Linked DNA regions of Astyanax mexicanus. The protein of the gene in region 1 purifies or fractionates together with the protein of each later gene. This does not show direct contact. Links are inferred from orthologs where the notes say so. Each region holds a gene or a part of one and is shown in the gene's direction. Other genes may lie near its edges.

Evidence for each region.
Region 2: the proteins of poc1a (region 1) and nudc purify together in Homo sapiens (co-immunoprecipitation; 3 studies listed by BioGRID and IntAct, with this or other methods). This does not show direct contact. The link is inferred for Astyanax mexicanus from reciprocal best matches to the Homo sapiens genes POC1A and NUDC.

Annotation. Positions count from the first base shown.
Region 1 is NC_064431.1:16,184,288-16,191,630, forward strand, and holds the start of poc1a (POC1 centriolar protein homolog A), read left to right. Parts: upstream 1-4,240; 5' UTR 4,241-4,685; coding exon 4,686-4,688; intron 4,689-6,960; coding exon 6,961-7,045; intron 7,046-7,343.
Region 2 is NC_064410.1:21,454,398-21,461,637, reverse strand, and holds the start of nudc (nuclear migration protein nudC), read left to right. Parts: upstream 1-4,183; 5' UTR 4,184-4,299; coding exon 4,300-4,374; intron 4,375-5,916; coding exon 5,917-5,994; intron 5,995-6,127; coding exon 6,128-6,343; intron 6,344-6,486; coding exon 6,487-6,567; intron 6,568-6,971; coding exon 6,972-7,085; intron 7,086-7,240. UniProt on the Homo sapiens protein: Plays a role in neurogenesis and neuronal migration. Necessary for correct formation of mitotic spindles and chromosome separation during mitosis. Necessary for cytokinesis and cell proliferation.

The DNA of each region.
Region 1 (7,343 bases):
AGAAATCGTTTGATTTTGTCCGATGGAAAGTTTTAGAACGGGCATATGAAAAGTACAGGTTTTATCCTGTTGTTATGGTATTTAGACCCGTCTGATTGGACCTGACGGGTCAGGTGAACGGGACGGTGAGCAGAAACACAGCCAGTCCTCAGGATTCTCTGGTGCTACGACTGAACTCTCAGTCTGAGATACTAATGGTGCTATTTTACAAGAATTAGCTTTCTGCGGCTTGATTTGAATTTAAATTTGAATTTAATGTGTATTTCCATTGTTCTTTTTTTTTTTACTGTGTCTGTAAATTCTAATGAACTGCATTTATATTTCTACCTTTATATATTTCAGCACCTGTCCTGGTCGTTTTACTTGGAGTAAACATTCAAATAATGTGAAATGATGATATAACTTGAACCGTGCTATCTTTATGACTTGTGCACTTTGTCAGATCAGAGCTCATGTTTTATTTCTGCTTTATGAAGCAATTTAGCACAAAGAAAGTATTTTTTTTTTAAAAAAGGAGTTTTTTTGAATTACTTGATATCTTTAACAATCATGCTTGAAAACACAAGGGGAACCTCATGTGAGTCATGTGACGTGATACTTGTTTTCTTTCTTTCTTGTTTTAAATAAAAATGCACTTATATATTTGTAAAAAAAGGATTAACTGGTGCTCAGAAACTGGTGCTAGACTCTAAACTGGTGTGTCTTTACTGGACGCTGCTGTTTTATAGTGAAATGTTGAGTAATCACAGTTTATGGCAGCTGGGGCACTAATTACTCATGATGATGCCACCCAGACTGTCATTTCTGAAAGAGGTGATTTTATACTGATTTCATTATAGTAAAAATAGTTATCATGCTCTTGTTATGCTACATGTAATACCTGCTATACATACTGCATTTCTATTTAATATAAATAAATAAATGAATAAAAAGGCGTTTGTTTCTGATTATCTTTGATTATAGATTATGGATTTACACACAGACACACACATACACACACACACACACACACTCAGCTGAGCTGAGCTTTGAGCTGGTGCTTATCTTCTGTGAAACCCAGTTTAACCCAATTACTAGTAACTCAGAGCCACCTTCTCTTCAGCAGAACAACTAATATTTAAACATGTCAGCCTGCACTTCTTTCCCAGAACATGTTTGCTGAGTGGAGCTCTTTCTGAGATCCCACATACACACACACACACACACACACACACACACACACACACACACACACACACACACACAAACAGATAGTATTGGTTGAAAGATTTTGTCAAATGGGATCCTGATGCTCATGTTGTAATACAGCATAGGAAAAAATGAGTCCCAATTTAAAAAAAAAAAATAGCTTTGCCAGTTTGTTAAATCAATCTTCCTGACAAAACAGGGTTTTTGGAGTGCAATAGATAATGTAAAATAAAGAAAGATCAATCAGTTTAAGCGAAAAAACGTCACTTATACAGTGAAGTTTAAGAGTTCTTAGAGTTCTGACTTATGCAAAAATAACCTAACTGTATTTTCTTGGTCTCAGCCAGAATATCCAGCATAGACAGCCTTCACCAGTCTAACCCTCAGGACCCTTCACTGTTTGGGTGTCTTTTTGCTACCCTTAAACTGAATCATTGTCCTTTTCATTGTTCATTGCACTTTTGTCCAGAAGATTTGTCCACTGAATAAACCGCATTTGTATCTTAACAGCGCAGCGCTTTTGCGTGTCTCAGCAGAGGATCCTGACTTGCTCGTTCACTCTGTAAAGGTACGCCAGCAGCTCATTTAAGGGAACAGCAATGTTATTTTATTCTTTATTCTGTTTATTGTTGATGTGAAAGCTGGATTGTGGTGTAAGTGTGTAAGAAACGTGGGTGTATACGCTGAGGGCACGCAACGCACATGGCGCTCCTGCATGGCTAAGATAGGATTGGAGGCCTGACTGTTGACTGTTGTCAGGGTTTTAATCAGTAAGTTGGCAAATGTAAGACAAGCCTTTGTTTTCTTTTGGTTCAACAGTGGTTTTTGCTTTGGACTCTCCCATGGATACCATTTTCAACCAGTCTCTTTCTTATAATTGAATCATTAATACTGACCTTAACTGAGAGAAGTGAGACCTGTATTTCTTCAAATGTTGTTCTGGGTTCTTTTGTTACTTCCCGGATGAGTTGTTCAGGTTCACCAGTGTTCCATGTTTTCTCCATTAGTAAATAGTAGCTCTTACGGTGGTCTGCTGGAGTCCCAAAGCCTTAGAAATTGTTGAAGTTGTACCTTTTCCAAGATCAGTGAGTTTCTCAGTTGCTGTTTTCTCACCTGCTGTTGATTTTTTTTTTTTTTCATATTGGGGCAGATTGTTGCTTTTTGAGATCTTTTAGCTGCTTCTGGTTGTGGACACTGGACAGTAGTGAAATTTAATTTAGCTTTGCACAAAATGTAGTTAATCACAGTTCATTCATGGAAAGGCAATTAATAATTTACCTTAATAAATGAAATAGTTATTTATAAACGTTTTTTTTATTTATCTTTGTTTGATATTAAAGTTTGTTTAGTAATCTGAAAAATTTAAATATAATAACACAAACAAACAAATAATAAATCTGTAACGGGGAAAATACTTTTTTATCAGTACTGTATATAGAACATGACAACTGTACAAATGCCTATACAGTTATACAGTTATATACTGGTTCTCTTGTTCTACACATATAATATATATATATACATTTATTTATTCCAATTATTTTATTTTTTTTAGAATCTTGTGAATATACATTTATCATGATTCAAACATCCTTTATCAGGCTTAAATGTTGAGGTAGGAAAAAATATTGGAAAAACTATATATGAATAGTATTATTTTATTTAAATAAATGATTTTAAAGCCATCTATGTTTTTTTTTCTTATTAAAAGTGTAAGTATTAATTTATAGGTCAAATAAAAAATAAATAAATTTAAGCCTACAATTTACCGACCTCTAGCGGGGGTCTGATTAAACTGCAGTTTCCACAATGCTGACTTCCAGTCTGCGCTTTTAAATCTCTGTCTCTGTCCAAATTATTATATACTTTTTTGAAATTATTTTGATGTGTATTATTAAATGTAATTTATATTTAATGTATAATTTGTATTTCCAGTTCGTATCATTTTATATAATATATTGTCTTCCAGGGAGCTTTTATTTTGATTAAAAAAAAAATGCTCACGTACTGTATACTGGCCAATCAGGAGTCGCCCAGAAAATCTCTAGTAGCGAGAATACCCACTAGACTAGTGAATCTTTGTCAGATTTGACCACTAGGAGGCGCTGTCGAGTGAGTCCAAAATTAATGGCTTCATATGGAGCAATTGACCAAAATTGGAGATTGTAAATAATGAATCATTTGAATGCTTTTAAAGTGTACTCATTTTCTAAACACAGAACAATATATCCTGTTTTAGTACAGAAAAACATAATTTTAAAGCTTTTTTACTCCAGTTATAAACCTTTTAATCATGCTTTTGCTATGTATCCGCCTACAGTTGCAGTAACGAGCACCTTAACTGCCTAAAACCGGTTTCCTGAAGAAAAACTAAGGTACGTTTTATTTATTTTTAGCAAAATACATCATTATAATTTTCAAAATTAAAGGAATATCCTGGCTAAGTGTAATTCGTATTTTTTATTTTATTTATAATTTGTTTAGTTGTTTAGCTCCATTCACCCCCATTCATTTTGGACTCACTCGCGGGCTCCCTCTAGCGGTTAAAACAGTAATGCTCTGATATAATGGCGGAGATCTGTCTTAGCGACCAACTTTGATTCATTTCAACGAACCGATTCTTCATAACGGTCACTTGAATGAATGGGAAGTAGTGAAGTCAGTCACTTTTTCTTTTAATTGGTTGTATTTTAATTTTTAAAGTGATTATTTAATAGATTATAAAAATCTACAATTAAAATTCTAACAATACATCACTTTTAAATATTTGCTAAATTAACTCTGAACAAACTTTTTATTTTAAGAAAATGGCTTTTTAAATAAAGAATTTCGATTATTATTAGAGGTGGGTAAGCAGAGCCGCCCAGGCAGTTGGTACAAAACCCTGGGATGGATTTTTTTTACTTTCTAGAGCAATATATTTACATACAAATAAGTTACTTTAAACAAATGTCATTGCCATACATAGCAGGGTGATTAAAACGGTCAACTATTTATTAATAGTTTTGATTCATTAAAATGAACCGATTCAGTAAAATGATTCATTCACAAGTCGGCGCGGAAAACAAATCTGTCGGCGGTTTGTTTTCGTTACTAAGCGGCTCAGAGCCGAGTTCCTAGTGCTTCTCTCACTCTGAACTTCTTTACACTTTCTGTACAGATTCGGATATTTCAGTACAGCTCGCAGATAGACGGCTATTCAGTTCAAAGTGAATAAAACCGGGAAGTTTGCCTGGTTTTAGCTCTTAGAAACCCGAGAACACCTGATACGGAGCCGGGGAGCGTTAGTTAGCCAGGTAGCTAATGCTAACTCCACAACAACCGCCACCTGTAACTCAGCTCTCCTTATAAAAACACATATATAATATAAGTAAAATATCTGCTTATATTTACTGTGACTCTGTTTATTGTAATGTTAAACATTAGCCAGTGAGTTTATCGGCTGGGTGTGTGGACTATCTGCTCTTTCTCTGTGTATAAAGAAAAGGAGCTGCGCTATGGTGAGTTATTTACTGGCTTTAACTAAAACTAGCTAATCTATGTTTGTGGATCATCCAGATTTTGGACCTCTGAAAATACAGAGACCACTTAAAATGAATGAGTTGATTTTACCTAATTAAAAACATCTGGAATATAAACAAGAGGAAGATGGATGATCACAAGCCATAAAACCAAACTGAACTGCTTGAATTTTTGCACCAGGAGTGCAGGCATAAAGTTATCCAAAAGTAGTGTGTAAGACTGGGGGAGGAGAACATGCCAAGATGCATGAAAACTGTGATTAAAAACCAGGGTTATTCCACCAAATATTGATTTCTGACCTCTTAACATTTTATGAATATGAACTTGTTTTATTTGCATTATTTGAGGTCTGAAAGCTCTGCATCTTTATTGTTATTTCACTCATTTCTCATTTTCTGCAATTAAATCCTCTAAATGTCAATGTTTTTTTGCAATTTGGGAGAAATGTTGTCCGTAGTGTATAAAATAAAACAAGAGTGTTCATTTTTCTCAAATATATACCTATAAATATCAGAATCATAGAAACTGATTCAGAAACTATAGCGGTCTCTTATTTTTTTCCAGAGCTGCATATTACATGAAATACACATTTACCGTATTTACTTGAACATTTAAACTGATTTCAGAGCTTTAACGAGGTTCAGTTGTATAAATAAATAAATAAAAAATAAAAGTAATCCAAATTATGAAGAAAAACATAATTAACTAGAAAAGTTAACACAAGATAGTTGTGCAGCTAAAATTGATTCCACTGTTCGCTGTGGAGGTTGCTATGTTGTTGCTAACCGGTGGCTAGGTGGTTGCTAAAGAGGTTGCTTGGGTATCTGTGCGGGTTGTTAAGCTGTTGCTAAGCGGTTGCTAGGTGATTTCTTAAGTGTTACCATGTTATCCGTGGTGGTTACTATGGTGGTCCCATGTGGTTGCTAGCTAATTGCTAAGGTGTTGCTGTTGTATCCTTGTTGGTTGCTATGTTGTTTATAAGTGGTTGCTAAGGTGTTGCTATGGTATCTGTGGTGGTCGCGATATTGTTGCTAAGTGGTTGGTAAGGTGTTGCTAGGTGGATGCTAAGATAATGTATTTGCATAATCTGATCTATGCAAATACATTAGCTAGGTGGTTGCTAAAGTGTTGCTATGGTATCAGTGGTGGTTGCTATGGTGTCCATGGTAGTTGCTAAGGTGTTCCTAAGTGGTTGCTCTGTTGTTGCTATGGTGTTGCTATGGTGGTTGCTAAGATGTTGCTATGGTGTCCATGGTAGTTGCTATATTGTTTCTTAGGTGTTGCTAAGTGGTTGCTAAGGTCTTACTAGGTGGCTGCAAAGTAATGTATTTGCATAAATCAGATTATACATGGCTTGGGTATGGACTCTAGGTTGCTCTGGACGTGTGATTGTTGTTTATTATGGCTTACAGCCAATGAAAACCCAAAAATCGGTATCTCAGAAAATTAGAATATTATATAAGATCAATTGGTACTTTCTGCAGTGTGGGCCAAGTCCTGCTGGAAAATGAAATCTGCATCTCCATAAATGTGCTGTAAGATTTTGTGGGAAAACACTGCACTGACTTTAGACTTGATAGAACACAGTGGATCAACACCTGCACATGACATGTCTCTACAAACCATCACTGATTGTGGAAACTTCACACTAGACCTCGAGCAGCTTGGACTGGGTGTCTCTCCACTCTTCCTCCAGACTCTGATCCCTTGATTTACAAATGAAATGTAAAATGTACTGATGAGCAGTGATGGTTTGGAGTGACATGTCATCTGCTGGTGTTGATCCACTGTGTTAAATCAAGTCTAAAGTCAGTACAGTTTTGTTTTCCCACAAAATCTTGCAGCACTTCATGCTTCCCTCTGCTGACAACTTTTATGGAAATGCAGATTTCATTTTCCAGCAGGACTTGGCACACTGCCCACACTGCAGAAAGTACCAATTGGTCTTATATAATATTCTAATTTTCTGAGACACAGATGTTTGGCTTTTTATTGGCTAAAAATTCCATTATTATCAACAATGAAATAAATAAACACTTAAAATAGATCACTCTGTGTGTAAAGCATTTATTTATATTATATATGAGTTTTGCATTTTGAAAATAATTACTGAAATAAAAGCAACTTTTGGTATTCACATTTTTTGAAATGCACTAGTATATACATTGCTATACATTTGACCTGGGTGATAGCGCTAGTGTTAGGGTTAATAACCTGGTGCCTTTATCTTTTAATATTGTGCTTTTTCAGGATGATCCATCCCTCCAGAGAAACTTTAAAGGGCACAGAGACACAGTAACCAGCATCGACTTCAACTGTAACATGAAGCAGATAGGTACAGTATAGAGCTCTCTTATTTAACCTTTCTAAACTAAATTATTATTAATTATATTCAGAAATTTCATTATTGCAATGTAGTCAAAGAATTTATGTTTAGAGCGTTAATAAACTCTACCCACTTCCAGCCCCTCACCCTATTACTGCTTTAGACCACACCCACCTCCAACATCTCAAGTAATTACTGCTTAAGCCACACCCACTTCCAGCACCTCACACCCATTATTGCTTTAGACCACACCCACCTCCAGCATCTCCAGTCATTACTGCTGAAGCCACACCCACTTCCAGCATCT
Region 2 (7,240 bases), on another chromosome or scaffold:
AGCATTCATGCTTAAATGATAGGAAGTGTTCTATCTTGGTTTTATGTAAAAGAGAAATATAGGATAGAATATTTTCATTTAATTTTCCAACTATAGTTTATCTTGGCAAAGATCCATTAAGCTTAAGCATCTAGTGTGCCAACAGTCATGGAATAGCATTATATAAATTTATCATGAATTTTATATCAGGGGACAGCTTGGGAATGGCCACACCTGTAATGTGAAACACAATGAATTATTGCTACTGAAATGTATACTGCAAATTCTAATAGAAATAATGCGAAATAAATCTTCACATTATAAGGTGCACTGGGTTATAATGCGCATTAAAGCCAAACGAGTGCTGGATGGTAATCTACACAGATTCCTCTCCTGAAAATGTGAGTAAAGCGGTTGCGTTTATTTACAGTAAGCTTAGCAGCCAGCAGCTTTAGCATTAGCAGCTAACCACTAGCTCTAACCACAGTTAGCACTAGTAAATACTGCCGACAGGGCTACACTGAGGAACTCTTAGTGTTCCGGTAAGCCAGGTTGATATTAGCTAGCGGTTCATCGCATGTAGCTTGTTTTAACACGGTAAACATGGAGACTACAGTCCGATATACTCACCGCTAAATGTCGAAAGAGCTAGCACTTAGCGCGGTTAGCAGCTAATGCTACTACTGCTCCAGTAGTGCTAGCCAGCGTTAGCAGCCGGCTACAGTCTGATATACTTGGATATACTCGGATTAAAAGGCACACTAATTATTTTTGGGAGAATTAAAGGATTTTAAGTGCGCCTTGTAGTGTGAAAAAATGTGAGAAAATTATGGTTTTATCCAACAATGACAATATCTGACAGTTGTCAGATATGAAACCAGGCACATTCATAAGACCCAGGGACATCCCCTGCTGCCCACATGCAATTGCATGTATAATATTTTGTTTTTGATACATTAAAAACAACAATTAGGCTATTTGGTGGTGTACCACCTTGGTGTGCCTTATTATGTGGCACTTCAAGTACATAATGCTTGAAGTGGCACATAATACACCACATTCAGTAGCCTAGCATGCTAGAAGATGCAAGTCATGGTGTGGTTAATTGCACAGTTAGTAGTGTGTACAATTAGCCAACCATCTTAAATAGTTTTGAACGAATAGTTTTGTCGCTGTCCTATGACAAACACTTATCTCCATTATTGTGGATTTTTAGTTTACAACATAATTTGAACAGACAAACTGTCCCTTACACTGTCAAAATTTATTGATGAACGTACCAATAGAAACTCTTCAAAATGACCTGAAATAAACTCTTATTACACTGACTTCCATTAAAAGTTTACAAGGTTTTTTCTCTCTCCTATAAAGTCCCTTTGTTGCTGATCTTACAAATTGTTGTGCCTTTTTTTAAAAAGAAGACCTGGCTCAAACACTGGCAGCCGAAAAGGGAGCTGTATGTGCCTACATGCACCAGTTTTAATTTCATCATAAAAATATAAATTCTAAACAGGTTAGTTGCCATATTTCAGCTATAATTTTCATTGACTAGAAAAATTAATAAGATGTTTTAAAACGTTCACACTATGTTTCGATTGCTTTACTTAGTATATTTTGATATGGACCCTTAATACATATTAAAACTGGTTTGGTATCTGCATCTGCAGGTAACACAAGGTTTTAGCAAAAGTAAGTAAATAAGTGCATTAGGTGAAAGGTCTGTACTCATTTGTAATGGGTCTATCTGTATGATAGAGCTACTACAGATACATTATCTGGCTGACACAGAAAAACTGCACTGTCGGTCAATGACTGAACGGAGAGTTTACTAATCACTGCTCGTGTCAAGATACTGATTTGTGCAACATCCTTTTACAGCCTTTCTAATGAATATGCCAAACAGGACAGCTTGGTCCTACTGTATATTGCAGCTATGGGATGGCCAGCTTATGAACTGACCTGGATTCATAACAACCAGCTAAATAAATTATATTTTTTTTATGTGTGTAACAAATAAGACAAGTACTAGTTAGAATAGGCCTACCCAGATATGTTGTGAATTTCACAATAAGGAAGAAATGTATTAGATTCAATACAAATAATGGACAAAGTCCAAAATGTGCTAATGTGGAGCATCCAGAGAAAGTGGACTAAGGCATAAATTGCTAAAGCATTGCTTAAGCAGTTCCAGAAATTACAGACATGTTTCCATGATTAGCCTGCCACTTACTAATTAACAAATTTGTATGCAAAAAATATCAACAGCACATTTGTCTGACTCAACCCATTGTAACTACAGATGTGTTTCATGGATAGACATGTTTTATAGATGCTAAATAAAAACTCTGCAAAAAAGGTAACCCAGTATATATTGTATGATGCACCAGAGAAAAAGAGAAAAATATTTTTTTAATGTTTTCATTTCTTTCAATGATTTTTTATTTATTTATTTTACTCTGGTTCATTATATAATCTAATAAAAGATCATACAATATTTATACTTATATGTTGCTGATTTTTTTTTATTATATTTTGTATTATTATATTTCTAATATTTATTGTCTGCATATTTTATACTGTAATATAGTTTGGGGGAGTGTTCTGCTAGTCTTAGTAAAATTTTGGTTATTCAGACACAATTTGTTTGTATTGCAATGCAATCAAAATTATTTATGCCACCTGTTCAGATACTTCTCTATTTATAATATTAATATATTTCAAATATGTTTTACTTGTAAAAAAGATATTAAAATGAAGGAAATATCGCAATGCATGAATTACTTTATCACAAATTCAGATACACCCATATTCAGTCTGTAGATTTTTCTTGTAGAGGTCAATTTAAAATAAGGTTTAGGGGAACAAAATTGTGAGATGATTTTGCCATTTAAAAACATTTTTTCGCCTTTACTTGCACTGCATGTTGTCTGTTTGCAGTTTACATGAATGCACTATATGTGCTAAACTTTAGTTTAGTTAAACAGTCCTGGGCGTTTGGTGAGGAGCAGTAAACTCTTTTTGTCTCTGTAAAGTCTGTATTTACACGGATAGTAAATGTTCCAGGCGTTTCTAGAGAGTTCTCTCCGCGGGCTCTGGTTCCTCTCGGGGGAAATCTTTAATATGCGCGAGAGTCGTGACGTTTTTTTAGTTCCAGTATTTTATTGGCTCTCTCGCCTGTCCGTTAACTCTGAGGTGGTTTGATTGGTCAATCCTGGAGGCGGGTCCTGTAGCTAGGAAAACATTTTTTCGCCTTTACTTGCACTGCATGTTGTCTGTTTGCAGTTTACATGAATGCACTATATGTGCTAAACTTTAGTTTGTGGTAGACTTTTTTAGTTACATTCAGAGTGTGCAGACATAGACACCAACGTGAAATCATTTTGTTGTGCAGTAAAATGTCTCATACAGCACCAAACTACTAAGCATCTTTAGCCGACTGGTCACCAGATAAACTAGCCGCTCTAGCCCAAATCAATGATAGATAACGTTTTTTTTATTATGAAGTGTTCCACGTGCGCTAAAAAGTGCCCTTTTTCCCCCCTGAGCACTCGGCCCCCAAAATGTCTGTGCACGACCCTGGTTACATTAGTTTATTTTTGTTCAATTAGTTTATTTTTTTTACATTTTTCTGCTATACTGTTGTTATTATTTTATGTACTATAAATCTTGTTGAGTTACTATAGGAAATATACCTAGGTTTATACTTTTTTGTATCTACTGAATGTATAAAATGTATATTAAGGCTTATAGCTGCCACTCAGCTTATATTTATTCTAAATTAAAAAAATGTTTTGTCTTATCGCAATGAATACCATTATTGCAAAAAATACCATCAAATATCGTGATGTTATGTTAGGGCCATATCGACCAGCCCAAGGGGCCAGGCATTTTTTTTTTTTACATATTTACCTATAAATAAATCCAGCACAATTCGAAAAGAGACTCGGCTCGTGAGTTAAACAGTCCTGGGCGTTTGGTGAGGAGCAGTAAACTCTTTTTGTCTCTGTAAAGTCTGTATTTACACGGATAGTAAATGTTCCAGGCGTTTCTAGAGAGTTCTCTCCGCGGGCTCTGGTTCCTCTCGGGGGAAATCTTTAATATGCGCGAGAGTCGTGACGTTTTTTTAGTTCCAGTATTTTATTGGCTCTCTCGCCTGTCCGTTAACTCTGAGGTGGTTTGATTGGTCAATCCTGGAGGCGGGTCCTGTAGCTAGGAAGCGGCTGCGTGTTTTCCTGTCTGTGAATAACGTGCCTCCGCTGGTCCGCTGCTCCGCGCTGTTCGTTGTTTCTGAGCGCAGTCTGAGACTCAGGGCTGTTAGAAATGGGAGATGATGAGGAGAAGTATGACGGGATGCTGCTGGTTATGGCGCAGCAGCACGAAGGAGGAGTGCAGGAGGTAACGTGTGAAGCGAGCTGCGAGAACAAGAGCATCAGCAGCAGCAGGGCGGCTAGCTGGGTTAGCTAACAGCGGCTAGCCTGTGATGGACCTGATTTACTCGCCTGTCTGTTGATAGGGATTTGGTTAGGGTTTTATTCATTATTTCATTGAACAGCAGCAGCAGCAGCTATCCGTGCTGTGTTTCTGAGAATCTAATCTAGCACTGCTCCTGTGGTTGCCGTTATACGGGTAAAGTTACCGGTGTCTGTGTAGCTAGGTAGTTAGCTAACTAGCTTATTTAGCTTTTTTTTTATCCTAATAAACTATAAGCTTAACTAGCTAGTTAGGTTAGCTAACTTTAGCCAGCTTTTAACTTTAATCCCTGGGCATCTAGTCACAGACCTTCTCATAAGTAGCAGTTTTGATCTATAATCAACAATCAGTGTCTGCTGCTACAGCTAACATAGGCCTGTCACCATAACTGTATTTGTGGACTATATATTACACCCACATACAGTACCAGTCATAAATTAATATTAAAGACCTTAACAGTAAAGGAACACACATGGAATTACATAGTAAACAGAAAAGTGTTTGTCCTCCACAATCATCTTGAGCACAGTGTGAATTAAAGTATAAATCATATTCTGGTTTGTTTACAAAGGAATTCTGCATTTGTTCCTGTGTAGCTTTAATGTCTTAAATATTACATTTAAAATATAATAGAAAGTAATATAAAGAAGTAAAACGATTTGAATGAGAAGGTATATCCTAATATATATATATATATATATATATATATATATATATATATATATATATATATATATATATATATATACAAAAAAAAAGTTGCAGCAGTTCTTCAGGTCTAGGTTTAGAAACAGTATGTGATAAAAGAATGAGGTCAGCTGACTACCTGAATATACTGAATGACCAGGTTAATCCATCACTGTTTTTTTTTCCTTCCCTAATGGCAGGGGCATATTCCAAGATGACAATGTCAGGATTCGTGGGGCTGGAATTGTAAAAGAGTTCAGGTTCAGGGAGCATTAGATCATCATTTTTACAGAAATGACAGTAAATACTGAAATTGCAGCATATTTGTAAAAAAAAATTAATTGCCTATTTACATTAAGTAACGCTTTTCTGTTTGTAAATATTTTTTAATCACCTATTTACATTAAGTAACGCTTTTCTGTTTGTTGCAGTCCTCCCTCTATGTATGGAGGCACTTTTATTAATGCAATGGTTATTGCATTACCGGCTGAAATATTGCCGATGTTTCTTCATTCTCTTGTAATCAAGAATGCAAGTAAACAGAATTTGTGATATCAGGGTTATAAAAAAAAAGTTATGAAAAGTAATGATTAGGTCATATTTTTGTATTGTTCTGGATGTGTTTGGTTGATAATGGTAGCGAGCAAGTCATTTTATGTGCATCCTGTTCTGTCTCAAAGGCTCACTTAACTAATTATGCTGATATATTGTCAGTACCCTGACTTTCTGTGTAAACGGCAAATAGAAGAAATAACTAAATAAACACTTTTTTTTCTACAGTTGGTGAACACATTCTTTAGCTTTCTCAGACGAAAAACAGACTTTTTTACTGGAGGTGAATCTGGAGCTCCAGAGAGGGTGAGTTAATGTCATTGAATAGAAACAATCCCTTATCTTTTTTTTTTTTTTTTTTTTTTAGTTTTCTTCCAAATCTTTTTTTTATGTTTGTGTTTAGTAATATAGTGTGCTTCACTCAATCTTTACTCCTTAGTTGGTAAAGGAGGCATTTGCCCATCACAGTCAGCTGGCGCTCCAGGCCCATAAGGACAAACAGTCCAAACAGGAGAAGGAGAAGAAAGAGAAAGCAGAAAGAGCTGCTAAGCTGAAAGCTGAAGAGGAGAGAAAAAAGAAAGAGTTGGAGAACGAACCCAGAATTAAAGAACTGACGGATGAGGAAGCGGAGAGACTGCAGACAGAGATAGATCAGGTAAGACTGTCCACTAGTTTTCTCTTTTACAGCTAGAAGTTTACAGTACGTTTATTAACCTGATTGTTTTGTTTGATTAGTTGATTGGTTTGGCTTGGTGCCTTAAATCTTTTGCATTTCTCTATTGTGCATGATTTATGCAGAAGAAAGACAAAGAAGAGCAAAAGGAGAAAAAAGACACTGAAAGCAGTGCTGCCGATACATCTGATAAAGCAGAAAAAGGGGTGAGTGAGGAATACACATTTATGATAATGGGAAAAGAAAGATGTGGACATACCTAGGATGAATTTTGATCAATTTGCCGTATTCAGAGTCAGATGAACTGTCTCTGTCTCTGCCTGACTCAATTTCAAGAGTATAGTGAGATTTCCATGCAAATGAAATAACTTATGTTTCAGTCACAGCATACCGGTAAGTGTAACCGGTACTGGCATATGGGATTGCCATTTTACAGTGTACAACACTAACACTAACAAAACACTGGCAATCTGTAAAACTAAATGGTTTATATGGGTATATAATGCTTTTTTTTTAACACTAAAGTGTTCTGCTGTACATATATACTTGTACATATAGCTTGTCAAATGTTTTGTGTGGTAATCTTGAGTTTTACTGATGTGTCGTTTAGTCTGAATCTGAAGGAGAAGAAGATGAGAAGGATAAGAACAAAGTAAAACCTAATTCTGGGAATGGAGCAGATCTGCCCAACTACAGATGGACACAGTCCTTGTCAGAAGTGGATGTGAGTATATTTTGTGGAGCTTTAGTCAAGCTTGCCTTTTTGTTTCTTCGAATACAGATATGACCACACTAATGAGTTTATTTGTAATGAGATAAATGATGACTGTATCCAGTTGTTGCTTTATATTCTTATTTAAGCTCTGTGATTGTGGCCAT